7 linked regions of the Callithrix jacchus genome follow. The protein of the gene in region 1 interacts with the protein of each later gene in a pairwise test. Links are inferred from orthologs where the notes say so. Each region holds a gene or a part of one and is shown in the gene's direction. Other genes may lie near its edges.

The links.
Region 2: the proteins of LDOC1 (region 1) and FAM50B interact in binary tests that used the Homo sapiens proteins (3 or more experiments, as listed by UniProt). The two-hybrid records come from large-scale screens. The link is inferred for Callithrix jacchus from reciprocal best matches to the Homo sapiens genes LDOC1 and FAM50B.
Region 3: the proteins of LDOC1 (region 1) and SMARCD1 interact in binary tests that used the Homo sapiens proteins (3 or more experiments, as listed by UniProt). The two-hybrid records come from large-scale screens. The link is inferred for Callithrix jacchus from reciprocal best matches to the Homo sapiens genes LDOC1 and SMARCD1.
Region 4: the proteins of LDOC1 (region 1) and FXR2 interact in binary tests that used the Homo sapiens proteins (3 or more experiments, as listed by UniProt). The two-hybrid records come from large-scale screens. The link is inferred for Callithrix jacchus from reciprocal best matches to the Homo sapiens genes LDOC1 and FXR2.
Region 5: the proteins of LDOC1 (region 1) and NXF1 interact in binary tests that used the Homo sapiens proteins (3 or more experiments, as listed by UniProt). The two-hybrid records come from large-scale screens. The link is inferred for Callithrix jacchus from reciprocal best matches to the Homo sapiens genes LDOC1 and NXF1.
Region 6: the proteins of LDOC1 (region 1) and GNL3L interact in binary tests that used the Homo sapiens proteins (3 or more experiments, as listed by UniProt). The two-hybrid records come from large-scale screens. The link is inferred for Callithrix jacchus from reciprocal best matches to the Homo sapiens genes LDOC1 and GNL3L.
Region 7: the proteins of LDOC1 (region 1) and FAM107A interact in a two-hybrid assay, tested with the Homo sapiens proteins (2 studies listed by BioGRID and IntAct). The two-hybrid records come from large-scale screens. The link is inferred for Callithrix jacchus from reciprocal best matches to the Homo sapiens genes LDOC1 and FAM107A.

What each region holds. Positions count from the first base shown.
Region 1 is NC_133524.1:138,057,502-138,061,069, forward strand, and holds LDOC1 (protein LDOC1), read left to right. Parts: upstream 1-1,613; 5' UTR 1,614-1,743; coding exon 1,744-2,181; 3' UTR 2,182-3,018; downstream 3,019-3,568. UniProt on the Homo sapiens protein: May have an important role in the development and/or progression of some cancers.
Region 2 is NC_133505.1:26,796,008-26,800,492, reverse strand, and holds the end of FAM50B (protein FAM50B), read left to right. Parts: intron 1-2,061; exon of another isoform or gene 2,062-2,160; intron 2,161-2,434; 5' UTR 2,435-2,457; coding exon 2,458-3,444; 3' UTR 3,445-3,930; downstream 3,931-4,485.
Region 3 is NC_133510.1:69,493,845-69,497,548, reverse strand, and holds part of SMARCD1 (SWI/SNF-related matrix-associated actin-dependent regulator of chromatin subfamily D member 1), read left to right. Parts: intron 1-162; coding exon 163-279; intron 280-1,540; coding exon 1,541-1,642; intron 1,643-1,895; coding exon 1,896-2,057; intron 2,058-2,150; coding exon 2,151-2,248; intron 2,249-3,704. UniProt on the Homo sapiens protein: Involved in transcriptional activation and repression of select genes by chromatin remodeling (alteration of DNA-nucleosome topology).
Region 4 is NC_133506.1:74,103,850-74,107,553, reverse strand, and holds part of FXR2 (RNA-binding protein FXR2), read left to right. Parts: intron 1-2,907; coding exon 2,908-2,960; intron 2,961-3,319; coding exon 3,320-3,413; intron 3,414-3,704. UniProt on the Homo sapiens protein: mRNA-binding protein that acts as a regulator of mRNAs translation and/or stability, and which is required for adult hippocampal neurogenesis. Specifically binds to AU-rich elements (AREs) in the 3'-UTR of target mRNAs.
Region 5 is NC_133511.1:120,075,117-120,078,497, reverse strand, and holds part of NXF1 (nuclear RNA export factor 1), read left to right. Parts: intron 1-153; coding exon 154-261; intron 262-374; coding exon 375-433; intron 434-540; coding exon 541-656; intron 657-774; coding exon 775-817; intron 818-1,711; coding exon 1,712-1,784; intron 1,785-2,585; coding exon 2,586-2,768; intron 2,769-3,381.
Region 6 is NC_133524.1:54,864,779-54,868,973, forward strand, and holds the start of GNL3L (guanine nucleotide-binding protein-like 3-like protein), read left to right. Parts: upstream 1-1,244; 5' UTR 1,245-1,344; intron 1,345-2,900; exon of another isoform or gene 2,901-2,990; intron 2,991-3,749; 5' UTR 3,750-3,862; coding exon of another isoform or gene 3,863-3,881; intron 3,882-4,195.
Region 7 is NC_133516.1:40,405,167-40,409,670, reverse strand, and holds the start of FAM107A (actin-associated protein FAM107A), read left to right. Parts: upstream 1-1,647; 5' UTR 1,648-2,212; coding exon 2,213-2,236; intron 2,237-4,504. UniProt on the Homo sapiens protein: Stress-inducible actin-binding protein that plays a role in synaptic and cognitive functions by modulating actin filamentous (F-actin) dynamics. Mediates polymerization of globular actin to F-actin. Also binds to, stabilizes and bundles F-actin.

The sequences.
Region 1 (3,568 bases):
CACTTTGTGCAGCCACAACTTCTAATTTTTTTTTTCAGCATCAGCACTCTGAGCTTATTTTACTTGCCAAACATTAATGAAGCCTTGGCTCTGGGCCAGAATTTTTCTAGGCATTAGGGATACAGCAGGTAGCAAAGGCAGTGTTTCTTTGACACATATATTGCAAAATAGAAGCAGATGATGAGCAAAGTGCTATTTGACATGTTGGCCAGTAGCACAGTAAATGTTATGTAGATAAATGAAGCAGAGTCAAGGGTTAGAGATTGGTGGCAGAGAACAGGGTTCTCTGATAGGTCCGGTGGCCAGAAAAGTTCTCTTTGAAAGCAGTAGGTGAAGGAGTCAGGCAGCCAACTGGGACAAGTCTTGCAAGGCAGAAGGGGTAGAAGGTGCAAAGGCTACAAAGCCAGAACTACTTGACGTGTGTGAGAATCAGCAAGGACAGTGATTAGAGCATAGCAGAAAATGGGAAGAGGCATAGGATAGAAGGAAGGGCTTTGTAGACCTTGGCTGCAACTTTGCTCTTTATTCTGAGATGAAACTTGGATGATTTTGAGCAAGGGAGTGAAGGGATCTAATTTTTGTTTTAAATGATTCCCGTGGCTACTTTATGGAGAATATACTATAGGTAGAAAAAAGCGAAAGCTAAGTGATTAGTTGCAGCAGTGTGTGAGAAAGAAAGGCTGGGTGGGGATCAGGGTGGCAGTGGTAGAAATGGCAAGACATGATTGAATTGGCAATATATTTGAAAGCAGAGCCAATAATTCATGATAGCTCTAGGATCAGAGATCCATTTAAAGTAGAAAAAGAAAATTATTTATAAACACTCACATCTTCACAGTTCATTTTTAAGTAGAGAATAATACCCAGTGGCCAATGGCACTAGTAGCAGAACAAGAAATAGAGAATAAAATGTGTGGGATGCCTGCAATTGGTTATCGGATGCTGATTTTGCAGAACTTTTTATATCTTGCTATTTAGGTTTTTTTTTTTTTTAAGGTAGGTATATCATATTATTTCCCAATTAAATAAGTCACTGTTTAAATACTGCCTTTTTCATGAAAGGCAGGACCCCCTGAGGGTCTTCATGACCCTGAAAGGAAGTGTGACTTCCACAGTGCAGCCAGCAGTGTCAATACTTCGCTAAGTGAGATTTAAACAAGAAAGAAAATGTGTTAATAAAACATCGCGCCAAGAGAATTTAGTGGCCACAGACCCACGAAGGAACACTGAGTTGTGCGAGTTGGCTAGGTAGAAGAGTGGTTAATCTTTTCAGCTTGAACAAGTGTACCTTCTCTGAGACCGGATTCAGCGCTCGCCAGGTCCTCTGCTAATTCAGGCCCCACATCCAGGAGCTCTGACAGCCGACCGCAGCCTTTAACTGCCCGCCTAGAGGGCTACGACAAGCCGGTGGTTCAGCAACCCAGCGCATCCTAGTCCTAGCCAAGCCCTGTGTGTCTACACTCTTCCCATCCCGGCCACGCCCCCACGCTTCCGCGGCCCCTCGCCTGGCCACGCCCCTCCCGCGCCGCGCCGGCGCACCGTCCGTCCGAAAGGCCGCGTGGGCGGGGCTTGCGTAGCCTCCCGGACTCCGGCGCGCACCGCACCGCCCCCCCGCCCCCCGCCCCTGGCCCTCGCGCGCCTTGGTGGACAAGCACTTCCTGCGAGGCCTCCGTACGCACCTTGTCCGAGCCGAGCCGCACCGAGCCGCACCGAGCCGAGCCCTGTACTTCCAAGCCGTTCGCCATGGTGGATGAGCTGGTGCTGCTGCTGCATGCGCTCCTGATGCGGCACCGCGCCCTGAGCATCGAGAACAGCCAGCTCATGGAACAGCTGCGGCTGCTGGTGTGCGAGAGGGCCAGCCTGCTGCGCCAGGTACGTCCGCCAAGCTGCCCGGTGCCCTTCCCCGAAACGTTTAATGGCGAGAGTTCCCGGCTCCCCGAGTTTATCGTGCAGACGGCGTCTTACATGCTCGTGAACGAGAACCGATTCTGCAACGACGCCATGAAGGTGGCATTCCTAATCAGCCTCCTCACCGGGGAAGCCGAGGAGTGGGTGGTGCCCTACATCGAGATGGATAGCCCCATCCTAGGTGATTACCGGGCCTTCCTCGATGAGATGAAACAGTGCTTTGGCTGGGATGACGATGAAGACGACGACGACGACGAAGAGGATGATTACTAGGCCTTAGACCCTCAGGCCTAGCGGGGAGGGCCCTGCACGCCGCCACCCCCTCTCTCCAGCCCTCACCCCGCCGGGAGCCACTGTTCTCCGCCTTGCCCTCTGGTCCCCTTCCCTACTCGCGCCCTTCAGTTCTCTCTCTTCGTTTCTCCGTAGTGCTTGTCTTTGTTCCAGGAATAGTGCTCCATTTACCTGCTGCTGGGGTTGGGGCTGAAGCCTCACTCACTCGGAAATGCTTGGAAGTGTCATCTACCCTGGCCAGCCCCTGAATCCCTCCCCTGCTAATCCGAACTGTGTCCTGAGCCCCAGTTATTGGCCATGCCCCCATTATAAATTGGTCATACCACCCATAGCCCTGCTGCTGCCACCTACCCTACTGCCAGGCTTACATCTGCCCAGAGAACTATGCTGCCACTTCACATCCACTCACCACATCCCACCTACATACTACCGCCTTTCGAAGTAAGGACCAACCTGGAAGATGCCAGAGTTGGCTATACCTCTTCGGACATTGATTCGGACAGCTCACCAACCCATGAAGGGGCCAATCATTCAGCCTGGTTAGTTTTCTACCCACTCTGAGGGTCCTCCCATGCCCCACCAGATTGCTGCAGGGGCTTGGTGTGCCTGGCAGCCAAATTGTTGACATTTCTTTTTTCCTATGCATTGGTTTTACACAGCTGTCACTTTACTTTCAAAATTGCAGCAGTCCCCCAGATGTGTGCATTTGGACAAATAATACTAAGAACAAAGCAAGCACTCAGCCCAGCTCCTCAATACTACCTGGAAAAAGCATTGGCATTATTTTCAATAAATATCAAGCACTACAAAAAAAAGAAATGATTGTCTTTTAATGGTTAAGTGCTGTCACTGGCCTCCAACACTGTCACTCTGTCTACCATTATTCCCATGGAAATCAGGGTTCCCCGCTGTCATCTCCAGGCTGTTGGCGACAGCTACCTCAGGGCTCTGTCAGTGTTCTGATGTTCCCTTCACCAATGTATTTCATAAAGCCCTGGCAAAGGGTATGTCCTCTGGTTCCTCCAGAATGGCATGGGTAAGGCTTGGCTGAGCAGATGGCAAAGAGGCAGTATTAATAATTAGACCATAACAACAGTCATAAACCTGGAAGAGGGGGGAGAGAGAGAGAGAGAGATGTAATGCTCCCAATTATCTGAGCTTTCAGATTCCTTAACACTGTACCAGGGAAGTTCTGCCCCTTAATCCTTATTGCCTATGTGTAGCTGCTGAGTTCAGGCTCCAAATAGCCAACATAGTATATTGCTTTTATGTCACTCTCAGATGCTCCAGCTAACATTAAATCCTGGATCCTGGGCACGTGTACCCATAAAGATAAACCCTGATCTTAACAAATATTTCTGCAGGGCGC
Region 2 (4,485 bases), on another chromosome or scaffold:
AAAGCTTCTCCATCAGCACTTGCTGCCTCACCTTGCACTTTATGTTATAGAGATGACTTCTTTCCTCAACTCATGAACCAACCTCTTTGGACTTTTCTTCTGAAGTTTCCTTACTTCTTCACAGAATTGAAGAGACTTAGAGCCTTGCCCTGGATTAGGCTTTGGCTTAAGAGCTTGTTAGGGCTGATTTGATCTTTTATCCAGACCACTAGAACTTTCTCCACATGAGCAATAAGGCTGTTTTGCTTTCTTATCGTTCATATGTTTACCAGGGTAGCATTTGTAGTTTCCTTCAATAACTTTTCCTTTGCATTCACAATTTAGCTAACTGTTTGGCAAAAGAGGCCTAGCTTTTGGCCTATCTTGGCTTTTGACATGCTTTCCTCACTAAGCTGAATCATTTCTAGCCTTTGATTTAAAGTGAAAGATGTGTGACACTTCTTTTCACTTGAACACTTAGAGACCATTGTAGGGTTTTTAATTAGCCTACTTTCAATATTGTTGTGTCTTAGGGACTAGGGAAGCCTGGGGAGAGGAAGAGAGATGATGGAACAGCCAGTGAGTGGAGCAGTCTGAACATACACAGCATTTATCGATTAAATCAATAAATGTCTTTATCTTCTATGTGCACACTTCGGCATGCCCCAATTACAACAGTAACCTCACAGATCACTGATCACAGATCACCACAGCAGATATCATAATGAAAAAGTCTGAAATATTGCAAGAATTACCAAAACATGACACAGGAACACAAAGTGAGCACAGCACTGTTGGAAAAATGGAGCCAACAGATGCTTGATGCAGCATTGCCACAAACCTTCAATTTGTAAAAACAAAACCAAAACACACAATATCCAAAGAGCTCGATAAAATGAGATATGCTTGTATTCTGGTGATGGGGCAACAATGACAAGGCTTTAGATGAAAAAAAGAAAAGAAAAGAAAAACATCAGATGCCAGTTTCCTAGATTAAGGCAAGTGGTGGGGAAATGAGAGAAAAAGAAAAGTATGAAAGGCTTCTCTGTAACTGATTACATGTGAAGGAACGTCATTCCAGGAATACGCCTAGGTTTCTGGTTTGGACAATTTGATGAGTGCTCATACCGTGATCTATGCTCCTTTGGATATGTGGGTGCCATATGTATTTATCATATGATTCAGGCTTCTTGGTAAGGTTATGTTCACAGGCATTGTTGCTATTAGACGGGAGAAGGCAGAACCGCAGGCATATATTTCACAACCAGCTTTTCCAAACTAGGTCTCATGAAGTACCGGTTTCAGTATTACCAGATCTCCTGGAAGAGAGAGACGGTCACAAAACATGCACTGGTTTCCTTTGCTCTTGGAGAGTTACGGCGGAAACTGGCATGTTAAATGCTTACAGTAAAGACACTGCTATACTTTAACTCAGTTTCCCATGGTTATTAGAGCCTAGAATTTGGGGGAAACTGCCGTAAAGGAGGTCAAACAATCTCAGAGTAGGTTTTGTCATGAAATTGGGGGGCGAGTAGGATTCTACTATCAAAGAATGGCTGTTGTGTTGGGGCCATAAGAACGAATACAAGCAGTGGTGCGCAAGTAATGTTCACGGGAGGGTCTCGGTGGGGTAGAGTCAGAGGCAGGAGGAGACACCGGAGGAGGAGGGTTGGAGAGTAGGGCTTCAGCCTTGCAAGGCGGTTGCAAGCCTCTTTGGATGGCGACAGCACCCTGAGCTGCGCCCACATTGCTTCTGCGTGTTTGCAACTGGCCACGAGAAGGCTCAGCACGCACGCACTGCATGTCTGGGCAGGCGCGCTGCCCACAGCACGTAAACAGTAGCCCACGCAGCCTCGGATGGACAGGAACAGAGGCGCCTTCGCCAGGTTCCTCCCTGCGCTGGCCCGCCCCTCAGGAGCACTGACCCTACCAGGAGCCTGGGCTCTCCCCAGGGCCCGCCTCCCCGGCAGGGGGCGAGCCGCCTCCACTTCCTGTTTCCGCAGCTGCCCTACCAGGAGCCTGGTGCTCTCCTCAGGGCCCGCCTCCCCGCCAGGGGGCACCGCCTCCACTTCCTGTGTCTGCGTCTGTCACGGGAACCTGGCACGGGTGGGCCTCTGCTCGTGGGTGGTTCTCTTGGAGCTCAACTCCCGCGTGTCTCCGCTCGACCGAGTGCTTGAGCAGGTAAGGGTCCGCTCTGTAGGCCTACCGTCTCTGTATGCCGCTCCCCAAATTCAGCGCTGCGCTCTGGCGTGGCAGCCACCAATTACGTGTGGCCATTCGCATTTACATTTGTTGGTGCGTGGCGACACTGCCAGGTTGGTGGTTACCCTAGCAGGGCGGCCCAGCCCCGGAACGCTTCCCTCACGGCCGAAAGCCCTGTGAGGAGGCGCTGCTACGCATTCCCTGCTGTTGCGCGAGCCCCTCTATACCTTCTGCATTTTTTACCTTGCTGCAGAGCCCACCGGGTAGGCGCAGGCGATGGCGCAGTACAAGGGCACCATGCGCGAGGCGGGCCGCGCCATGCACCTCCTCAAGAAGCGCGAGAAGCAGCGGGAGCAGATGGAGGTGCTGAAGCAGCGCATCGCCGAGGAGACCATCCTCAAGTCGCAGGTAGACAAGAAGTTCTCCGCGCACTACGACGCCGTGGAGGCCGAGCTGAAGTCCAGCACGGTGGGCCTGGTGACCCTGAATGACATGAAGGCCCGGCAGGAGGCCCTGGTCCGCGAGCGCGAGCGGCAGCTGGCACAGCGCCAGCAGCAGGAGCAGCAGCGGCTGCAGCAGGAGCGGCTGCGCGAGCAGGAGCAGCGGCGTGAGCGCAAGCGCAAGATCTCCTGCCTGTCCTTCGCGCTCGACGACCTCGATGACCAGGCCGACGCGGCTGACACGGCCGAGGCCAGGCGCCCCGGAAACCTGGGTAAGGACCCCGACGTGGACACCAGCTTCCTGCCAGACCGCGACCGCGAGGAGGAGGAGAACCGGCTCCGAGAAGAGCTGCGCCAAGAGTGGGAGGCACAGCGCGAGAAGGTGAAAGACGAAGAGATGGAGGTCACCTTCAGCTACTGGGACGGCTCGGGCCACCGGCGCACCTTGCGCGTGCGCAAGGGCAACACCGTGCAGCAGTTCCTGAAGAAGGCGCTGCAGGGGCTGCGCAAGGACTTCCTGGAGCTGCGCTCGGCCGGCGTGGAGCAGCTCATGTACATCAAGGAAGACCTCATTCTCCCGCACTACCACACCTTCTACGACTTCATCATCGCCAGGGCGAGGGGCAAGAGCGGGCCGCTCTTCAGCTTCGACGTGCATGATGACGTGCGGCTGCTCAGCGACGCCACCATGGAGAAGGATGAGTCGCACGCGGGCAAGGTGGTGCTGCGGAGCTGGTACGAGAAGAACAAGCACATCTTCCCCGCCAGCCGCTGGGAGCCCTATGACCCCGAGAAGAAGTGGGACAAGTACACCATCCGCTGATGCCCACCTGCCAGTGTGAAAACCGGGGGAAGAAATCAAACCCGTCACCGTGACTTGATTTCTTCCCCCAAGTGTAATAAAGACAGAGGGTTCTCGTGATTCACATTAGTTGTTCTGTTTGCTGATGTTATTCTTTCGTTGCTTGGGTGGTCTTTTCTGTGTATTTCAGTGTTGCTACCTGGATTTGCTGCATTGCTCTGCTGAGCTGTGTTGAAACCATGACTGGGCCCACTGTGAGACAGAAATTAGAATAGGGGGCACATTTTTTACTTAGCGGTTTTGAGCATGGACTTGTGGGCCACACTGACTGGGTTTGATTCCTGACGTAGCTTCCTCCTCGCTGTGTAGTTTTGGGCAAGCTTATTAAATCCCTGTGCCTCAGTTTAGTCACTTGTAAAAGGAAATAAGAGCACCTACTTCATAAGATTGAAGAGTAAGTGAGTTAATATTTGTAAAACAGCACTTAATAAACGTGTTTTGTGGTTATTCTTATGGTTTTGGTTAATTTATTTAAAGGACTGCAGTGACCTTGTTTGGAACCATTTAAGGGCAAAGGTGGACCTGCCCATCACTGGTCTCAGGATCAGCAGTTGCCAGCAGGAGGGGCTCGCAGAGGTTGGGGAGCAGCCCCCGCTCTGGTGACCGTTAGCTGGGCTGTTTAGCCCCAGAAGTTAGGAGGACAGAGAGCTAATCCCAGTAGCCTGCAGGGTCAGTATCATTTTTTTATCTTTTGCTCCAACATGGCTCCACAGGGCAGAGTTACAGATCCTGTCTTTATTGAAAATGTTTGTATTTTATTCATTGTGAATTATTTATGTTAATTTTGATTTCTTAAAATATTGTGTTCAAATATTATTTGATTACTGAGTGGCATTTCCTTCCCCTTAACCTTAATGACCAAGGTGGGTGCCTCACTCATCTTACCCCAGTCCCAGACCTGAGTGTAGGAGGGACATTAGAGTTCTTGCCTCAGCCCATAAGCAGGAACTTCCATCAAAACATTAGCTCTCTAGGGCAGTGGGTCCCTTAGGGTCATCAGAG
Region 3 (3,704 bases), on another chromosome or scaffold:
TGGTTTAATACCTGCAGAAGCCTACCTGTCTCTCCTAAGAGATATTCAGAAGATATTTTTGAGTTTTTTCCCATTGCTGTTGGGGTTCCTTTTTCATAGGATTTTGTCTTGGGAAGTTTCTTCTGGCCGTTTCTAACATGATTTTTCTTTTTTCTCCTCTAGTCAGCCTTGTCCAAATATGATGCCACTAAACAAAAGAGGAAGTTCTCTTCTTTTTTTAAGTCCTTGGTGATTGAACTGGACAAAGACCTGTATGGGCCAGACAACCATCTGGTAGAAGTGAGTAGTCTGCCTTCTAGGCTTTGACTCTGATTGAAGGATGAGATGGACTTGGGAGCCATATTTGAATGTCTAAGAAGGGGAGATAGAAAGTAGTCACTCTGGGTGTACACAGTACTACTCCAGGTATACGGTTTGCACATTGACCTCTAGGTGGCACTAGCATGTTTAGTTAGGACCAAGGGCTCTTGTAATCTAACTCGTCTCATCTTTTAATGTTACTATGCTGGTCACTGCGGCCTCTTTCAAGGGAAATTTTACTGGTGGCCTCTTGTACATGCCAGGCCATCTCTGCATCTTGCTTGCTAATGATGGTGAGACGTAGTTATCCATGCACCAATCATACTTTTTCCTGGTAGCAGTTGCTGTAATTAGAGGGATTGACTGATAGGGTACTAGTACTTGCCAGGGTCACCATCAGGAACTTCCTCTTGGTCTCTGCTCCATTTAGATTTACATTCCAATTCACCAAAAATCCTTTATTAAGATGCCTGATTGCACGCCGTTTTGAAGCCCATGTTAGCAACAGTATTCTTTGGGATACAGGCAAAACCAAATGATAGTCCAGCCAGCACTCCAAGTGAATTTAACCTGCTCCTTTCTTTGCCAGTGTAGCTGCAGCCCCTTAACCTCAACCACTAAGAGACATGGAAAGGTCTTTACCACCTAATAAGGGAAGTAAGTCATAGAATCAATAGAAATTTGTAAATATATTTAACTTAATTTTATAGCAATAGAGTATAGTGGTTAAGAATGTGGACTGTAGAATCAGACACACCAGAGCTCAGATCGCAGCTCCACCACTTACTGGCTGTTTGACCTAAGCAGGTTACTTTGTTCTGCTGAACATTAGTTTTCTCATCTGTAAAACAGGCATAAGTGTGCCTATCTTGTATAGATGTTTGGAAAGTGATAATCCAGGTAAATGTCTTAGAATATTCTTGCACAGGTACTCAGTAAATGATAGCTATGTTATGTTACTGTTCACATCTGTATTAGCCATTTTGTGGATAAAATTATCACTGGACATTCAGGCTTAATTGAATGTAACCACAAACAGAATTAAAAGGTTAATCTACTTATACACAGACAGTAATCCCAAAGCCATATGCAGTTTTTAAAAATGCCTCATGCTATTGCTATTACTCTTCTCCAGTAGCCTCAATAATCAAAGTTGAATATTCAGTCATTACAGAAGCTCTTCCCTCCCACCCCAGCTCTTCCTCTGGGAGAGCACCCCCTGACATCTTCCTCTCTGTAGTGGCACAGGACCGCCACTACCCAGGAGACCGACGGCTTTCAGGTGAAGCGACCGGGAGATGTGAATGTACGGTGTACTGTCCTACTGATGCTGGATTACCAGGTATTCTGTGGTGGTGTGAGGGGGTCCAGCTTTCACAGCCACATCCAGTCAGCAGTCTCCCCTTAAAGGGTTTACGTCTAATTGTGAATAATTTGTCACTTTGGCATAGAGATAAGAGTCTTAGTGATCTCTGAGTTCTTCCTAGAATGTTTCTGTCCCAGAGAAATCTCTACATTGTTTGTTGAATGGCTTGAATGTATTACTGCATATAGACCCAGCTAACTGGCTTCATATACCCTTTGGTTCCCTGCAGCCTCCCCAGTTTAAATTAGACCCCCGCCTAGCTCGGCTTCTGGGCATCCACACCCAGACTCGTCCAGTGATCATCCAAGCACTGTGGCAATATATTAAGACACATAAGCTCCAGGATCCTCATGAGCGGGAGTTTGTCATCTGTGACAAGTACCTGCAGCAGGTAAGTAATGGACACATTGCTTTGCTAGAATCCATTAAGACTACTAGTTATACTCAAAATGCTAACCTCAGGTGCTTCTGCCCTTTGCTACAGATCTTTGAGTCTCAACGTATGAAGTTTTCAGAGATCCCTCAGCGGCTCCATGCCTTGCTTATGCCACCAGAGCCTATCATCATTAATCATGTCATCAGGTAGGCCTGTGTGTGAGATGCAGTGCTGTGCTGGAGCTGCCTTCTACCGACTTGCACAAGCCAGTTGTCAAATTTTCAGGAATTTTGCAAACAGGTTGTTAAACAAAGCTGTTATTTACAATTAAATTATATAAACTTATAATTAAATATATTAGACTAAAAGTGGGTAACATAAACTCAAAATGTATTACTTCCTCATTATTACATTTTATTATATTTATGCTCTTGAGGTTATTTTTGCCTATTGTATTTGCTTGTTATATTTGCCTATTTTTATCTGGTGGAAATATGATATAATGTGTTTATCTGTTACTGCACATCTCTTCCCAACTCTGAACAGTAATGTGATGTTGGTAGCTTGAAATCAGAATATTTAAGCTCCGGAGATCAGCAGATGCCACACACCTGGGCTCTTCCTCCTGTCCTCCTTTGGAAGATCAGTTGTTAAGCATTTACCAGGTCTTCACTGACAGAAGGGCTCAGGGCCCATCTTTTCTCTGGGTGGTTCAGCATTCAAGTCTGAGCCTCCAATTACATTACTTCTATTCACTTTTTTGTTTAGAAGATGGAGAGCAAGGCACTTCTAGGCAGATAGGGAGTGAAAAAAAGTCGTTTCTTCTCAAAGCAGTGTGTCTCTGTAGTTGGATATAGTCTCCTTGCCTTCCTTTCTTTACTCAGTTTTAATTCCAGTAAGGGGTTTTTTTTTTCTTTTGACCCTGAACCTACAAGATGATAGAGAGGAAGATTTAAAAAAGAAGATAAGGCCCTGAACCATCACTAGTAGTAACTCCTCAACCTATAAATTAGGTCAGTAGAAGTTGGTCTGTCCTGTATTCCTGTGCTTAAAGTTAGACCACTTAAATTTTGTTTGACTTTCATTCTGGGGTCAATTTTAGTATAAAAAGGAGGAAGCCAGGCACAGTAACATGTTCCTTGTAGACCCAGCTACTCCAGAGGCTGAGGTGGGTGGATTGCTTGAGCCCCAGAGTTTGAATCCAGCCTGGGCAACGTAGCAAAATCCTGTCTCTGAAACAATGAAACAGGTTTGTTTGTTTAAACATAAAGACTCTCACTCTGTCACCCAGGCTGGAGTGCAGTGACACGATCTCGGCTCACTGCAACCGCTGCCTCTTAGGTACAAGCGATTCTCGTGCAAGTAGTTGTAATTATAGGCATGTGCCACCATGCTGGCTAATTTTGTATTTCTAGTAGAGATGGGGTTTCACCATGTTAGCCACGCTGGTCTTGAACTCCTGGCCTTGAGTGATCTGCCTGCGTTCGCCTCCCACAGTGCTGGGATTATAGGCATGAGCCACCACACCTAGCCAAAAAAGTTTTTTAAATTACTATTATTTTTTTTTTGAAACAGAGTTTCTCTCTGTTGCCCAGGCTGGAATGCAGTGGTGTAATCACGGCTTACTGCATCCTCAATCTTCTGAGCTCAAGTGATCCTCCC
Region 4 (3,704 bases), on another chromosome or scaffold:
ACCATGCCTGGACAATTTCTCTCTCTCTTTTTTTTTTTTTTTGAGATGGAGTTTTGCTGTTGTTACCCAGGCTGGAGTGCAATGGCACGATCTCGGCTCACCGCAGCCTCTGCCTCCTGGGTTCAACCAATTCCCCTGCCTCAGCCTCCCAAGTAGCTGGGACTACAGACACACACCACCATGCTCAGCTAATTTTTGTATTTTTAGTCGAGATGGGGTTTCACCATGTTGACCAGGATGGTCTCGATCTCTTGACCTCGTGATCCACCCACCTCGGCCTCCCAAACTACTGGGATTATAGGCGTGAGCCACCGTGCCAGGCCCTCTCTTTTTTTTTTAAGTAGCTATGGGATTTTGCCATGTTGGCCAGACTGATCTCAAACTCCTGGCCTCAGCTGATCGTCCTGCCTTGGCCTCCCAGTGTTGGGATTATAGGCGTGAACTACGCACCCGGCCAAAAAGGATAGTCTTTTCAACAAAGGGTGCTGAAACAACTGGATATCTATAGGTAAAAAATGGTCTGGGCACAGTGGCTCATGCCTGTAGTTTCAGCATTCTTGGAGGCTAAGGTGGGTGGATTGCTTGAGACCAGGAGTTCAAGACCAACCCTGGGCAACATAGCGGAACCCTGTCTCTGTTTCAAAAAATGTTTAGGCCGGGTGAGGTGGCTCAAGCCTGTAATCCCAAAATGTTGGGAGGCTGAGGCTGGCAGATCATGAGGTCAGGAGATCACTGGGTATGGTGGCTCATGCTTGTAACCCCAGCACTTTGGGAGGCCGAGGTGGATGCATCACAAGGTCAGGAGATTAAGACTGTCTTGGCCAATATGGTGAAATCCCATTTCTACTAATAATACAAAAAAAATTAGCTGGGCATGGTGGCACATACCTATAGTCCCAGCCACTCAGGAGGTCGAGGCAGAATTGCTTGAACCCAGGAGGCGGAGATTGCAGTGAGCCAAGATCGTGCCAGTGCACTACAGCCTGGGCAAAAAATAAATAAATAAAAAAGATAAAAAAAAAAAAAAAAAAAACAACATCAGGAAATCGAGACCATCCTGGCCAACATGGTGAAACCCTGTCTCTACTAAAAATACAAAAAAAAAAAAAAATTAGCTGAGTATGGTGGTACACACCTGTAGTCCCAGCTACTTGGGAAGCCGAGGTAGGAGAATTGCTTGAACCCAGGAGGCGGAGATTGCACTGAGCCAAGATCATGCCACTTCACTACAGCCTGGGCAACAGTGTGCAACTCCGACTCAAAAAAAAATTTTTTTTTAATTTAAAAATATGTAAAAAATTTTAAAAAGAGGCCAGGCGTGGTGTCTCATGCCTATAATCGCAACACTTGGGACGGTTGAGGCAGGTGGATCACCTGAGTTTGGGAGTTCAAGACCAGCCTGACCAACATGGAGAAACCCCATCTCTACTAAAAATACAAAGTTAGCCAGGCATGGTGGTGCATGCCTGTAATACCAGCTACTCAGGAGGCAGGAGAATCGCTTGAACCCAGGAGGCAGAGGTTGCAGTGAGCGGAGGTCGTGCCATTGCACTTCAGCCTGGGCAACAAGAGTTAAACTCTGTCTCAAAAAAATAATGGTAATAAAAATAAAAAATTTAAGAAAGAACCTTGATCAATACCTCACCTTATATGTAAAATTTAATTCAAAATGGATCATAGATGTAAATGTAAATGTAAAATAAAGAACTAAAAGTGTAAGAAGAAGACATAAGAGAAAACGTTTGTGGTTTTGGATTAGGCAAAGATTTCCTTTCCTTTTCTTTTGAGTTCTGCTCTTGTTGCCCAGCCTAGAGTGCAGTGGCACAATCTCGGCTCACTGCAACCTCTGCCTCCAGGTTCAAGCGATTCTCCTGCCTCAGCCTCCCAAGTTGCTGGGATTACTGGCATGCACCACCATGCAGCTAATTTTTGTGTTTAGTAGAAATGGGGTTTCACCACGTTGGCCAGGCTGGTTTTGAACTTACCTCAGGTGATCTGCCTGCCTCAGCCTCCCAAAGATTACTGGGGCCTGGTCAAAGATTTCTTAGATATGAAATCAAAAGCACAGTTGAAAAAAGAATAAATTCATGTTGTATTTTTTCAAAATTAGAAATCCCTAATTCTATGTGAAAAATAGGGAGAAGGTAGAAAAACTGGTAGCGGAGGGTTGACTGCATGGGTTTGGCCTTCTTAGGACATAGACAACAGTAGATGGATCAGCTGTTCAGTCATCCCTGTTCCTCTCTCTCGTCGTTATCTCAAGATTGGGGTCTTCCATAAATTTTATTATCCTTTTTAAATTCTCAGTATCACTCTAGATTCAATTCTAGTATTAAAAATATAGGATTTGTTTAAGTCCTAATTTCTTCTGTAACTGTGTTCTAAATTTTGAACTTCTCTAGTGTTCTGACTATTGTCCTAGGACCCAGGCATCAGGGCAGAGAGTCTGCTCAGATCTTTTGCTGTATTGGGGAGGTAGGCCCTTCTCTTTCTTGACAGATCCTCATGTCCTCTAGGTGTTCCAGGACAGCCTCACACTGTCTCATGGGATATTCTTAGCCTTGCTGAATGTTGTTGGTATTTTAATTGAACTCTGGCAGGCTGCTTAGCACAACAGGAGGCAGGCAGACAGGGAGGCCCCTGTGGGAGCCTGAGTGGATCACTGATTTCCAGGCTGTTCTGATGCAGGTGGTACATACATCTATCCATGACAATATAATTTCCTTTTTCTAGGTGACTGCCCATATTGTTTCCCCAATGCAGCCTTTCAGGCTCTCTCATTACACCACTTGTATCCTTATCTAAAACTCAAGTTTAAGGGTTTGCAGTGTCTCTATTCCCTTGATGGCTAAGGTGGAGGTAAAAGGTCATTTTATATTTTTTACTTTTTCCTAAAATCCATTCTAGGGCTTTGTGAAGGATGTCCATGAAGACTCTGTCACCATCTTCTTTGAAAACAAGTAAGACCTTGGGAATAGAGAATCCAGCATACTAGGTCCTAGAAGGAGAGTGGAGAAGAGGGGGCGGCTGAGTCCTATGAGGCATGTAATAGGTGGGGAGAGCTGAGGGTTTGGGTGGGAAACTTATATGGATCCCAGGAGAGGAAAGGGCTGAGAATTTGGTGAGGGTGGGGGCATTTGACCCAGTATTTAGAGTCTAGAAAGAGATGGAAGACACCACTATGGAGGAGGGCCTGGGATTTAGTCTCTAATTATCCAGAAAGGTGGAAATTGCCCAGCTGAGGCAATAACCCCTTTGTAAAGAAATGGGCAACCATATCAGTCTGAGTAGCTTTTTTATATTACTGTTTCTCTTACAGCTGGCAAAGTGAGAGACAGATTCCTTTTGGAGATGTCCGGCTACCACCTCCAGCTGACTATAATAAGGAAATCACAGAAGGGGATGAAGTGGAGGTAAGGGCTGTGGAGTACAACCCTTTCTAAATGCTACTTTTCCCTAGGATTCTAGACTTCCCTCTGGTTGGTTCATGTTCCTTTCTCCCCAACTAAGCCATATCTAGCTATGTAGCCTATGGAAATGTAAAATGCAACAGTTTCCCTTTCATTACTGTCGTGATTAGCCAGACTTTCAGGGAGATCCCATTTTAGGGGATTTACCTTCCATTTGTGGTAACAGCATCTAAAATCCAGTGCCCTCTTAGTTTTTTTGTTTTGTTGTTTTGAGACAGAGTCTCACTGTTGCCC
Region 5 (3,381 bases), on another chromosome or scaffold:
GGCTCAAGCAATTCACCCGCCTGGGCCTCCTAAAGTGGTGGGATTATAGGCATGAGCCACCGTGCTCAGCCACAGCTCACTCTTGGGAGGTACTGGGTCCTGCTGTGGCTCTAGACCACAGAGCCTATGCTTTCTTTTTTGTTTTTCCCACAGGTACTATGCTATTTATGACTCTGGAGACCGGCAAGGGCTCCTAGATGCCTACCATGATGGGGCCTGTTGTTCCCTTAGCATTCCTTTCATTCCTCAAAACCCTGCCCGGTAAGTATCACATCCCAGAATCTGCCTGGTACCACAGGGTTTCCCAGCAGATACAGGGCAGCACTTGCTGCAGCAATGCTCTGACACCGTGTCCTTTCCTCTTATTCCCCCAGAAGCAACTTGGCCGAGTATTTCAAAGATAGCAGAAATGTGAAGAAGCTTAAAGACCCTAGTAAGTGTGTGATGTGAACAAAACAGGATGGGAAAAGGGCATGGGAAGGAATCTATCATAAAACTCAGGAGTATGTGGCAGCCCCACTGAGCTTTCTCTACCCACAGCCTTGCGGTTCCGGCTATTGAAGCACACGCGTCTCAATGTTGTCGCCTTCCTCAACGAATTGCCCAAAACGCAGCACGACGTCAATTCCTTCGTGGTAGACATAAGCGCCCAGACAGTAAGCTCCTGCTTGTGCCCTGACAGAAGCCTAGAATTGGGATGGGGGTGGCATTTAATAGGCATGGTTGGGGTGCGCTCAGAAGTCTACATTGTACCTGATGCTGCTTCTGTTTCAGAGCACACTGCTGTGTTTTTCTGTCAATGGGGTCTTCAAGGAAGGTAAGAATCTTTAAAGTCCTGAGTTTGTAGCATGGTCCCACCCCCAGCTGGAATGTACCTCAGCACTCTTAGCTTCCCAGCTACTTTCTCTCCCATTTCTTTTTCTTTTTCTTTTTTTTTTTGAGACGGAGTTTCGTTATTGTTACCCAGACTGGAGTGCAATGGCACGATCTCGGCTCACTGCAACCTCCACCTCCTGGGTTCAGGCAATTCTCCTGCCTCAGCCTCCCGAGTAGCTGGGACTACAGGCACGCACCACCATACCCAGCTAATTTTTGTATTTTTAGTAGAGACGGGGTTTCACCTCATTGACCAGGATGGTCTCGATCTCTTGACCTCGTGATCCACCCGCCTCAGCCTCCCAAAGTGCTGGGATTGTAGGCGTGAGCCACCACGCCGGCCCCATTTTCTTTTTGAACTCCTTCTCCCATTTTGCCTCCAAGCCATCTTGGCTTGGCCTCCCCTCCGCCTGTCCTGACAGGATATTGGAAAAGCCTGGGGATTAGGAAGACTTTGGAGTCAGGCAGTTCTTAGTTTCCATCCTGGTTTTGGTTGTGTGGGGCCGTGGACAAGTAACATTACCTCTAAGACTTAGGTTATTTATTTGTAAGATGGGTAATAGCCATCTCACAGTGGTGCTATAGAAGTAAAATGAAATAACTTACAAAGTGCTTGGCCTTGGGCCTGGCACACAGATGCTATCAGTGGGTTAGTAGTTATTAGTATTATTGTACTCTCTGCCCAACCCTTCACCCCACCTCTACTTCCCTTATACATTTAATCATCCCTGTCTGGCCCGCTAGTGTTCTTCGTATCAAATAAGACCATGATTCAAGAAGCTGTTTGTAAACCACTAGTGATCCTAAGGTGTCGTTGCTCTTGTTCTCATTGCAGTGGATGGAAAGTCTCGGGATTCTTTGCGAGCCTTCACCCGGACATTCATTGCTGTTCCTGCTACCAATTCAGGGTAAATATTCTGCTTTTCACATTGGATACCAGTCCTAATCCATGGCCAACAGTGTGGTAATTGGAGGGTAGAGTCAGTCTTCGGGGTGCTTTCAGAAAGGCAACAGGAAATTGGGGAAAGCTCACATAGTAGTTAAGAGCTAGGTAGGAGCGCGGCTCTGGAATTGTACTGTTTGGGTTTTCATCCTGGCTCCACCTCTAGCAAGTAGGCTGCTGCCTCATCTGAAAGTTTATATTAACAATATTCACTTCCGGGCCGGGCGCAGTGGCTCAAGCCTATAATCCCAGCACTTTGGGAGGCCGAGGCTGGTGGATCACGAGGTCAAGAGATCGAGACCATCCTGTTCAACCTGGTGAAACCCCATCTCTACTAAAGATACAAAAAATTAGCTGGGCATGGTGGCACGTGCCTGTAATCCCAGCTACTCAGGAGGCTGAGGCAGGAGAATTGCCTGAACCCAGGAGGCGGAGGTTGCGGTGAGCCGAGATCGCGCCATTGCACTCCAGCCTGGGTAACAAGAGCGAAACTCCATCTCAAAAAAAAACAATATTCACTTCCTAAATTTGTTGTGAAGATAAATAAAGGACTAAGAACTGTCCATGTGTTGGGAGAACTCTAGTGTGTTTGGTAGATAATCCTTCCAAACATGGATTCCATGGGAGGAGATAAATGATTAAAGGTAACAATAGCTCAGAGTGGGAGGGGAACCTTGTGAATACTGAAGGAATCTGAGAGTAGGAATGATGTTGGGGGATGACATTATATATCTGTCCAGCTTTTTAAGTGCTCTTTGTCCTCAAGGCTGTGTATTGTAAACGACGAGCTATTTGTGCGGAATGCCAGTTCTGAAGAGATCCAAAGAGCCTTCGCTATGCCCGCACCCACGCCTTCCTCCAGCCCAGTGCCCACCCTCTCTCCAGAGCAGCAGGAAATGTTGCAGGCATTCTCTACCCAGTCTGGCATGAACCTCGAGTGGTCCCAGAAGTGAGTGTTGGGCATATGTATGTAGGGTGGGGATGTACTGAACCAAAGTAGGAGTAGTCGTGACTAATGAGAGCTCCTGACAGGTGGGTTGTTTTTGTTTTTGTTTTTTTTTTAATTAGAGACAAGGTCTTGCTCTGTCACCCAGGCTGGAGTGTAGTGGTGATCATAACGCACTGTAACCTCTAACTCTTGGGCACAAGCTATCCTCTCACCTTAGCCTCCAGAGTAGCTGGAACTACAGGCATGTGCCAGCACACCCAGCTTTTTTATTTTATTTTATTTATTTTTGAGACGGAGTTTTGCTCTTGTTACCCAGGCTGGAGTGCAATGGCGCAATCTCGGCTCACCACAACCTCTGCCTCCTGGGTTCAAGTAATTCTCCTGCCTCAGCCTCCCAAGTAGCTGGGACTACAGGTGCGCGCCACCATGCCCTGTTAATTTTTGTATTTTTAGTAGAGACGGTGTTTCCCTTTGTTGACCAGGATGGTCTCGATCTCTTGACCTCGTGATCCACTGCCTTGGCCTCCCAAAGTGCTGGGATTATAGGCGTGAGCCGCCACGCCTGGCCTATTTTATTTTTTTTAAGACAGGGTTTCACCATGTTAGTCAGGCT
Region 6 (4,195 bases), about 83 Mb from region 1:
ACCAGTCTTGTCCTGGGTCTTGTTGAAGGCTTGAAGATACATAGCCCCTGTAGGGAGTTCACTCTCGTGTGGAGACACAGCCACATAAACAACTACAATATTAAGTGATAAGTGCTAGCTTAGCTGCATAGGCAAGGTGCTCTGGGTTTCTAACTCATCTGGGAAAGTCAGGGCAGGTTTCATAGAAGTGACAAGAGTTAAGTCTTAAGGAAGCAGAAAAAATTTGCCAATGCAGGGGTAAAGGTGAAGGTGGTCAGGGCTGGTTTGGGGTCCAGCGGAATTTCATGTGTTTCTAGGATGAGAGGTTAGAAACCCTCCAAAGATGTAGAGAGGTAGTGAGTCCTGTTTATGTAAGGGGTAAAGGGATAGAGGGAGTCCTTTTCAGCCCATCCATGCTTGAAGTGGAGAAAGAAACCCACCCTCACAGGCACAGTCCCACCTACTCTGTGCCCCACCCCACAGTTTAGGTTTGAGGAAGAGGAGGGGCTGGAATGAAACCATCAGGAAAGAGGCATTTCAGACTAATATTTACTGTTTTCTAGGGGAGACCTTACTTCCCAGCTAGCTCCTTGAGATGGTTTCAGAAACCCTTACTTGCCCCAGTCCAGAGATATAAATTCATTCCCTTCTGCAGGCGCTGCTCCGTGATTAAGGGAAGGATGGAGTAGGAGGGGAAGAAGGCAAACGGGTGGGAGAGGCTTCTAGTTGTGCTGCTCCATTTCGGGTCGGGTCTGGCCATAGATCTGAACTTACGCATAAAGAGCTGGGAGTGCTCAGGGAGTGTCTGGGGCCCAAGGACCCGGGAAAGTCGTTGGGAACAGCTAACCATTCACTTTAGGTGGGGAATACTCGGCCAGACATGTGACCCAGGCGGCCATTTTCTTACACCCTGCTGACGCCATCTTCCATGCAGACAAAGACATCATCCCCCACCCTTGTTTGATTCGGGCATGGTGCCTGCCTGGTTACTGAGGTTTGGAAGTACGCATATTTAACCCCAGACAGATCCCCGCAGACAAAATTTTGACTTGCAAGTAGGGTATATGGCCGCAGTAGTCGGCCCGCCGCTTCTTCCTGTCACTTCGCTGTCCTCCCTCTACCTCCTCAGCTGTTTCCTTAACTATGGGGCAGCCAGGAGGCGGGGCCAGCGTGGTAGCGAGGAAGGGACCGGCGGGCGCGAGCTGTCAGTCAGAAGCCCGCCCCCCGAGGAGAACGCACAGTGGGCGGAGTCGGGCGCCGCCGGCCTAGGATCCGGAAGTCTGAGCCTAGCTGCGCCTGAGCATTTGCTCGCGCAACCGAGTTGTCGTGTGGCTGTTTCTTCTCACATCCCCGCCGGAAGTATAGGTAAGAAACTACTCTCTTTTCTCACGGTGTGCGCTCACGTAGACGACTGGGCAGTTAGGATCCTGTATTGAAGGTGAAACCACAAATGCCCGCCAGCCTGGAATAGAGAGGTAAACAGCCGGATCCTTTCTAGGCTACAAGGGCCCAGCAGAGGAGCAGGGATCGCAGCACACGTGGAGACGCGCCGAATTGCCTTTTCGCGGGGTGGAGTTCTCTGGGAGAGGGGCATTGCCGCATCGCATCTAGAAAGGTGTAAATCCGGGACACACTGTGTAGAGAGGCACAAACCTCACTTGTGTGGTGAAGCGTTGATCGTCCTCAAGATAGTGAGGCTCCATTCTGCGTTAACCCTGTATACACAGGAGTCGACTCACCGAAGGCATAGGGGACATCCACCCCAATCTTATGTATAGAGACATCTCTTTCCACTCAGCTGAGCAGTGCAGACTTCTCCCGGTTTAAGGCACTTCCTTGGCCTGGCTCTAGACAGCCGCCTCGAGGCACCTCCGACCTCTGGACAGACCAAGGCTTTGATGTATCTGTCCCCATACCAGTATAGAGGAGCTCAGAAACATTTAATACACAGGTGGAGGGCAGCTCCTCCCCATTCGTGTAGACCTACAGCCCTCAGTATCACTCCCCAACTCACGCATCCCCAAAGTGGTTGCAGATACAGTTGTGGACAACTAAGCCTATTGCCTCCTCCTCTTAGGTTAAAGTGAGTCCCTGTTGCGGAAAATCAGATCTGATCCCTACCTCCGTAGCCCCCGTTTTACCGAATGTGTATTTTTTTTTTTTTTTTTGAGAGGGAGTCTCGCACTGCTGCCCAGGTTGTAGTGTAGTGGCGCGATTTCGGCTCACTGCAGTCTCCGCCTCCTAGGTTCAAGCAATTCTCCCGTCTCAGCTTCCTGAGTAGCTGGGACTACAGGCGTGTGCCACCACGCCCAGCTAATTTTTTTGTATTTTTAGTAGAGCCAGGGTTTCACTGTGTTGGCCAGGATGGTCTGGATCTCCTGACTTCTTGATCCACCGGCCTTGGCCTCCCAAAGTGCTGGGATTGCAAGCGTGAGCAACCATGCCTGCCCCCGAATGTGTAATTTTTTGAGGCACCCAAAGTGCTTCGAAGCAAGCAGGAACAGACCTTAATCCATGAAGAGACAGTCAGGTCTGCCCCTTGAGGTGCCATGGAGGTAGAGGGGCTCAGATGTGTTCCTCTCCCTTTGACATAGACACACATCATCCCCCAACCTCCTCCAAGGATTTAGAATCACTAAATGTAGCAAGTGAGATACCCCACAGGAGCAGCGATGCATGCCCCCCTCCCTGTAATGTTGAGAGGCAGTGATATCATTCATTACCTGGCAGTGCAGTGCATATGGTCTCTCCCCTTCGTCCAACGTAGTGGAGCTCAGATCTGTTTCTCACCACCCAGGGTAGAATCATTGATCCCCCCTCCTGCCCCCAAGTATTAGGGCTGATCTATTAATTTATAGCTGTATTGCCTGCCCCCTCCACACACCACCCATGCAGAGAACCAGAGGCCTTATTTCTTTCAGTGTTAGTGTGCTGCTGACTTCAATCAGCATAAAAGATGAAAGCTGTCACAGTCTACTTCCCACAGAAGGGTGCAGAATAACTCACTGAAGGTAAGGTGCAGACCCACTTATTCAAAGCTTCATTGTTGTGGTGTCAGGCATATCGATCCTGCCCTACAGCCCTTTCCAGGGTAAAGAGACCCAGGACCCATCCCCACAATCTAGAGATAAACAGATCTGTGGTTCTTTTCCCATGTAGCAGAGATGCACACAGCCACTTTGTGAGTTTCCCCAGTTTCTCTGTACCCGAGTAGAGGGACAGTTGGTAATCCCCCCAACTCAAGTCACCAAGGTATAGACCCCAGGCAAATGCAGGCACAGATTTTTTACCCCCTCCTCCAAGATTTTGTACTTATCTCAGTCCATATAGACACGCAGGTAAAAATCCCTGTTCTCAGGCCCCCTTTCCCCAGGGTAGACTCCTGGGATCTATTTACCCCCTTCTCCACCATCTCTCCTAGGTAGATGAGATATAGAATTCCCTACTTGGGAAAAGAGGCACTATTATTGGCCCATGTAGAAATGGACCATCCTTGCATGCCCCTTTCCCCTCAGTGTGAAGGGGTTTAGCACTAGTTTCCTACCTAGGGTTTAACACTACGGTGTGGAGGAATAAGGACCAAAGGCCCCATCTGATGCGTTGAGGCACTGACTCCACCCGGGATGAGGTTGAGACCTATCCCTCCCTTTGGGTAGTGTGGACTCCCTTCCCTGTGTGGACTCAGCCATATGAGGCTCTAGCTCCAGCTTCTCCCAGTTTTCCTAATTATTATGGCTTCTTCATAATGTGCTTTAACATTTTACCTTTAGGGGACTTAGGTGAAGGCTTGTGGCATTGTGGTTCCCCGCTGTCTTCAAATTGCTTCTCCCATTCTGACAGGAAGAGAGCAAGCAGATTTGAACCTGCTTTCAAGCTGGTCGTCATGATGAAGCTTAGACACAGTGAGTTTCCTTTACCACCCCTACCAATCCTGTGCTTTTAATGAATGTTCATAGAATTTCACAGTAACTTTTTCTTTTTTTGTTTTGAAACAGAGTCTTGCTCTGTTACCTAGACTGGAGTGCAGTGATGCGATCTCAGCTCACTGCAACCTCCACCTTCTGGGTTCAAGTGATATTCCAGCCTCAGCTTCTCGAGCAGCTGGGATTACAGGTGCCCACCACCACCACGCCTGGCTAATTTTTGTATTTTTAGTAGAGACAGGGTTTCACCATGTTGGCCAGGCTGTTTTTTTTTTTTTTTTTTTTGAGACAGA
Region 7 (4,504 bases), on another chromosome or scaffold:
ACGTGTTTGCTTGGCTGGAAGGGTCATGGGCACTGGAGGAAATACGGTAACTTCAGTAACAACAGTATTAAGAAGTGCCGTGCAGCGAGCACTTGTGATGAGCCGGGACTGTGCTAAGCACTCGATCAGCTTAGACTACTTCATTTAATCCTCCATCATGTATTCTTCCACTAATATTGCTCTAGACCCAGGGGGGAAACTGAGGAGCAGGACAGACCAGGCCCTGGCCTTTGTGGAACTGCCATTCCAGGCAGAGGAGACAATCGACACAGAAGTCATATCATTTTGTCACTGATGAGTGCTGCGACAAAGTAATAAACAGAGAGCCTGGGAACTACTGTGCAGAAGGTGTCAGAGAAAGCTTCTCTGAGGAGCCTGAGAGATAAAAAGGAGAGAATCATGCAAATATCAAAATATGAAATATGAGGAGCAGAGGGGAAGTTGGGGAGGAAACATCCCACGCAGAAAGAGTAGCAAGTGCAAAGGCCCTGGGAAGGGGAAAGGTGCTGTGACCCAGAAGCTGCCAGGGAGAGGGAGGAGAAGGAACTGAGGTCCTAGCAAGGCCATTTGTCAGACCTTGTGGACCTGGGGGCTTTTGTTCTGTTGGCAAGGCTGGACAGAATGCCTAATTCTTGACCCTCCAGCTACGGTTCCATGAGGCATCTGTGTGTGTGCCAGGCACCGCGCTAGAGGAAAGGAAAGAGTGGCAAGGTTTCCCGACCCGCCCACCTCTGGGGAAAGGGCGTTGTGCTTAGTGAACTGGTTAGCCGGGACTTTCCAGTGGGCAATGGACTTATCATTTGTGTTCTTAACAGCAGCACCTAACTTCGCTGAGGAATTGTTCGCTAGATGCTCTGCTTACCCTCACAGCCCCAGGCAGTGGGGGCAACTGTTACCCACCTTTAGTGAAGCGACAGATTATAAAACAGGGAGTGATGGCCAAACACAGTGGCTCACATTTGTAATCCCAGCACTTTGCGAGGCCAAGGCAGGCAGATCGTGAGGTCAGGAGTTCAAGACCAGCCTGGCCAATATGGTGAAACCTCGTTTCTACTAAAAATACAAAAACCAACTGGGTTTGGTGGCACACACCTGTATTCCCAGCTACTCGGGATGCTGAGGCAGGAGAATCACTTAAACCTGGGAGGCGGAGGTTGCAGTGAGCCGAGATTGTGCCACTACACTCCAGCCTGGGTGACAGAGTGAGACTCCATCTCAAAAACAAACAAACAAACAAACAAACAAACAGGGAGTGACATGCTCTGATTTATGCTTACACAAAATGATAGCTTCAGCTGCACACACACACCTTACTTCATTTAGCCATGTGCAGTGGGAGTGCTTATCACATACGCTCGTGCGCGCGCACACACACACACACACACACCCCGTGCCCCCAAGGCCACACAGCTGTCAGGGGCAGAGCCACAGTTCAAGCCTAAGGTTTTTTCAGGCTTAACCTCTGCTACAAGCTGGCATCACAGAGAAGGAAGGGGCTGGCAAATGAGGAGGAGGGTGATTGCCGGGGGCACTTTGAGAACTTGGCCCCAGGCCTGGAATCCAGCCTTCAGCTATTTTCTTGGCCTGAGCCCAGACCAGCTGACCTCCAGCCCTCCCAGGCAGCCTGCTGCCCAGGCGTCTGCTCTCAGAGTTCCTGCTGTGGGAGAGCCCCAGACCCCAAGAGTCTTCAAAGGTCTATTATTAATGGGGCTGTCCAGCCGAGGCTGACATCCCCACGCAGCCGTCCCAGAGCTCTGCACCTCAGCCAGCCCTCGGCCTTCCCTGTCTGGCCCTGTCTGCTGAGCAGTGCCTAGCAAGGGCCAGCCAGAGGTCACCCGCCGCACCTGAGCTACCGGTGTGTGATGAGAGGACTGCCTCGCGTCTTCCCCCCTTTCCCAGCTGCCTTAGTTTCCCTTCCTGAGAGACGCAGCGTTCTGGGAGGTGAGGAGCTGCAGGGACCCAAGAAAGGCATGGGAGCCGCCTGGGGACACTGGCCCCTCTGTCAGGATCAATCGCCCTAAGCCTGTCTGAGGCGCTCTGGGCTTAGGAGCAGCTGTGAAAGCCGCCTTTGTGCCGGGGAGAATGAGCCACAAGAGGACAGGGGGCCCTGGCCCCGGGAGCCCCTCAGGTCCTGGCTCCTGAGATCCACGCCAGCAGGAAGGACCCCAGCCTGGTCCCTGCAGCCCACCCAGGCCTGGTGCCACCTCGTGCCATGGGAGCAGCCCAGGGGAAGAAGGTAGGAGCCCCCAAGCGTCCTGTTGGGGCCCCGGACACGGGAAGGGAAACTGAACCCAGCAAGTGGGAGCCCTGACCCACCTACCCGGGAGCTTCAGCTGGCACTGCCCACCAATCTTCTTCCTGGCACTCACAGCCAAGATGTGCAGCTAGAAAACTGGTGGGGGCTCAGGGCAAAACCAGCATCCTAATCTCTCCATCTCTAGGACAGACTTGGGGACAGCCGAACCTCTCTGGCTCCCTGGTATTAGCCACACACATCTCTACTTCCCTGAGTAAAAGCTCCCAGGGTACCCCTTCCCCACACCCCAGGAGAGTGTCTGATGCAGGTGGATACAGGGGAAAGATCTTAAAATTATTATGATTATGATTATGAGTTGGCTAACCAGCTGTTACCAGTTGTAGGGCAATGGGCAAGTTATTTAAGCTTTCTGTACCTCATTTCCTCACCTGTAAAATAGGGCCAATAATAATCACTACCTTGGAAAATCGTTGTGAAAATTATATGAATGAAAGCGTTTAGAACGCTGCCTGGCACTGTGTAGAGGCTCTGCTCCTTTGTTAGTAGAATTCTATTCATGCTATTATCCCTCACCTCCTATGCCTGAGCTCTCAGCTGGGGGTTTGTAGACAGCACTGCCTGAGCAGTGTTTCTGGAAATGCACCCCTTGGACCCCTGCATCAGCATTGTGGGGCGGGGAGGAGCAGGGAGCTTGGAAAACAGTCGCTTTCTCGGGGCCCGTCAGACCTCCTGGATCAGTGGGGGCAAAGAGGGGAGGGGCCTGCATGTACTCACCAGCTCTGGGGATTGTGGGATTGTGGCACAGGAGCTCACTGCTCTCCACCCACAGCCCAGTACTGCCACCCCGGGGCGTGGTCAGGCTGCGAAGTCCCAGCTCCACCACCCACCTACTGTGGCGAGGACCTGAACCCCTCTGGACCTCAGCTTCTTGTCTGTAAAATGGGGCTGGTACCTGCTTTGTGGGAGGTTCAGTAAGGTGTTGCTTGTGAATGCTTAGTGCAGTGCGCTACCTGACACCCAGAGGGTCCCCAATAAACAGGGGACTCTGACCTTCAGACAACCAGGGATGACCTATTCCATCAACGCTGAGACACTCAGGGAAGAAGTCATTTCCTAGCCAGGGTCATGCAGCTAGTGGGGGAAAGAGCAGGGTGGTGGTGGTGTTAATTTGGAAAGGGGAGCTTTATTTCTCATAAAGATTACAGCCTGCAGGGTGGCCATTCCAACAGGCCGGGAAACATGGCCTCTGGCCAGAAGCCAGAGACTGATACTTTGAGGAAGAGGCAAAGGGAATTGAAATGTATGCTGAGCACCGTGGCCAAATATACATATTCAATAAGCTGTGGGGGAGTCATGTGTATTTATGAAAGGAGAAACATGTGCATGCACAGCTGAGCTTCATGCCTCTTATGGGCCCCGTGTACAAAAAAGTGTTGGCCTTAGTGTGATCGGAGGGTGGAATTTTCAGCCCTCTGACATCAAAGGGGAAGCAGGGGGCATGAAAACCCTCACTGTGCATCCTCTGCAGACTGGCTAGAACCGCTCCATGACTGGTGGTCTCTTATCAAGAAAGAATGCTGGTGGGTTTTTGTGTCAAAACCGTAAAAGGGTGGAGCAGTTGGTTGAAATCAGCATGGAGTCTTTTGAAAAGGCCGGCTTCTGTTTAGCTCTTAGGGAAGAAAGTCTAGTGGAGGTTATCAAGGAACAGGGCACCACAGGGTGCATGCAACCTCCCATCCTGCCATGGCCAGAAACTCACTTTTCAAGATTTCTCTGGGGTCCCCTTGGTCAAGAGGGGGTCCGTTCAGTCACTTGCGGGGGTTAAAGTTTTATTTTTCTTTCTCATTTTTCTTGGGAAGGATTTTGACCCCACTCTGCTTGATGCCAAACAAGCCAGCCCATCCCACCCTTCCTGGTCCATAGCCCTGTCCACGGCATCTTGATCAACCCCCACCTCAACCTCCCATAGGAGGCTGTTGACCGGGCACCTGCTGCCCTGTGCCAGGGTCTGTGTGAAGCTGGAGCCAAGGATGAGGAGACACAGTCCCTGACCTTGAGCCCATCCCTGTCAATCGCAGAGACTGACAGGCAAGCAAGTAGGAGTATGTGTGACAGTTGAAGCAGAGGGGACCGGGCACATGACCCCTGGGCCAAGAGTCAAAACACAACGTTGTTGTGTCTATTCCTCTTAGACAAGGTCTGGACTTTGCTTTTAGGTGAAGTCACTTTTGTTCCCTGAGGAGTGTC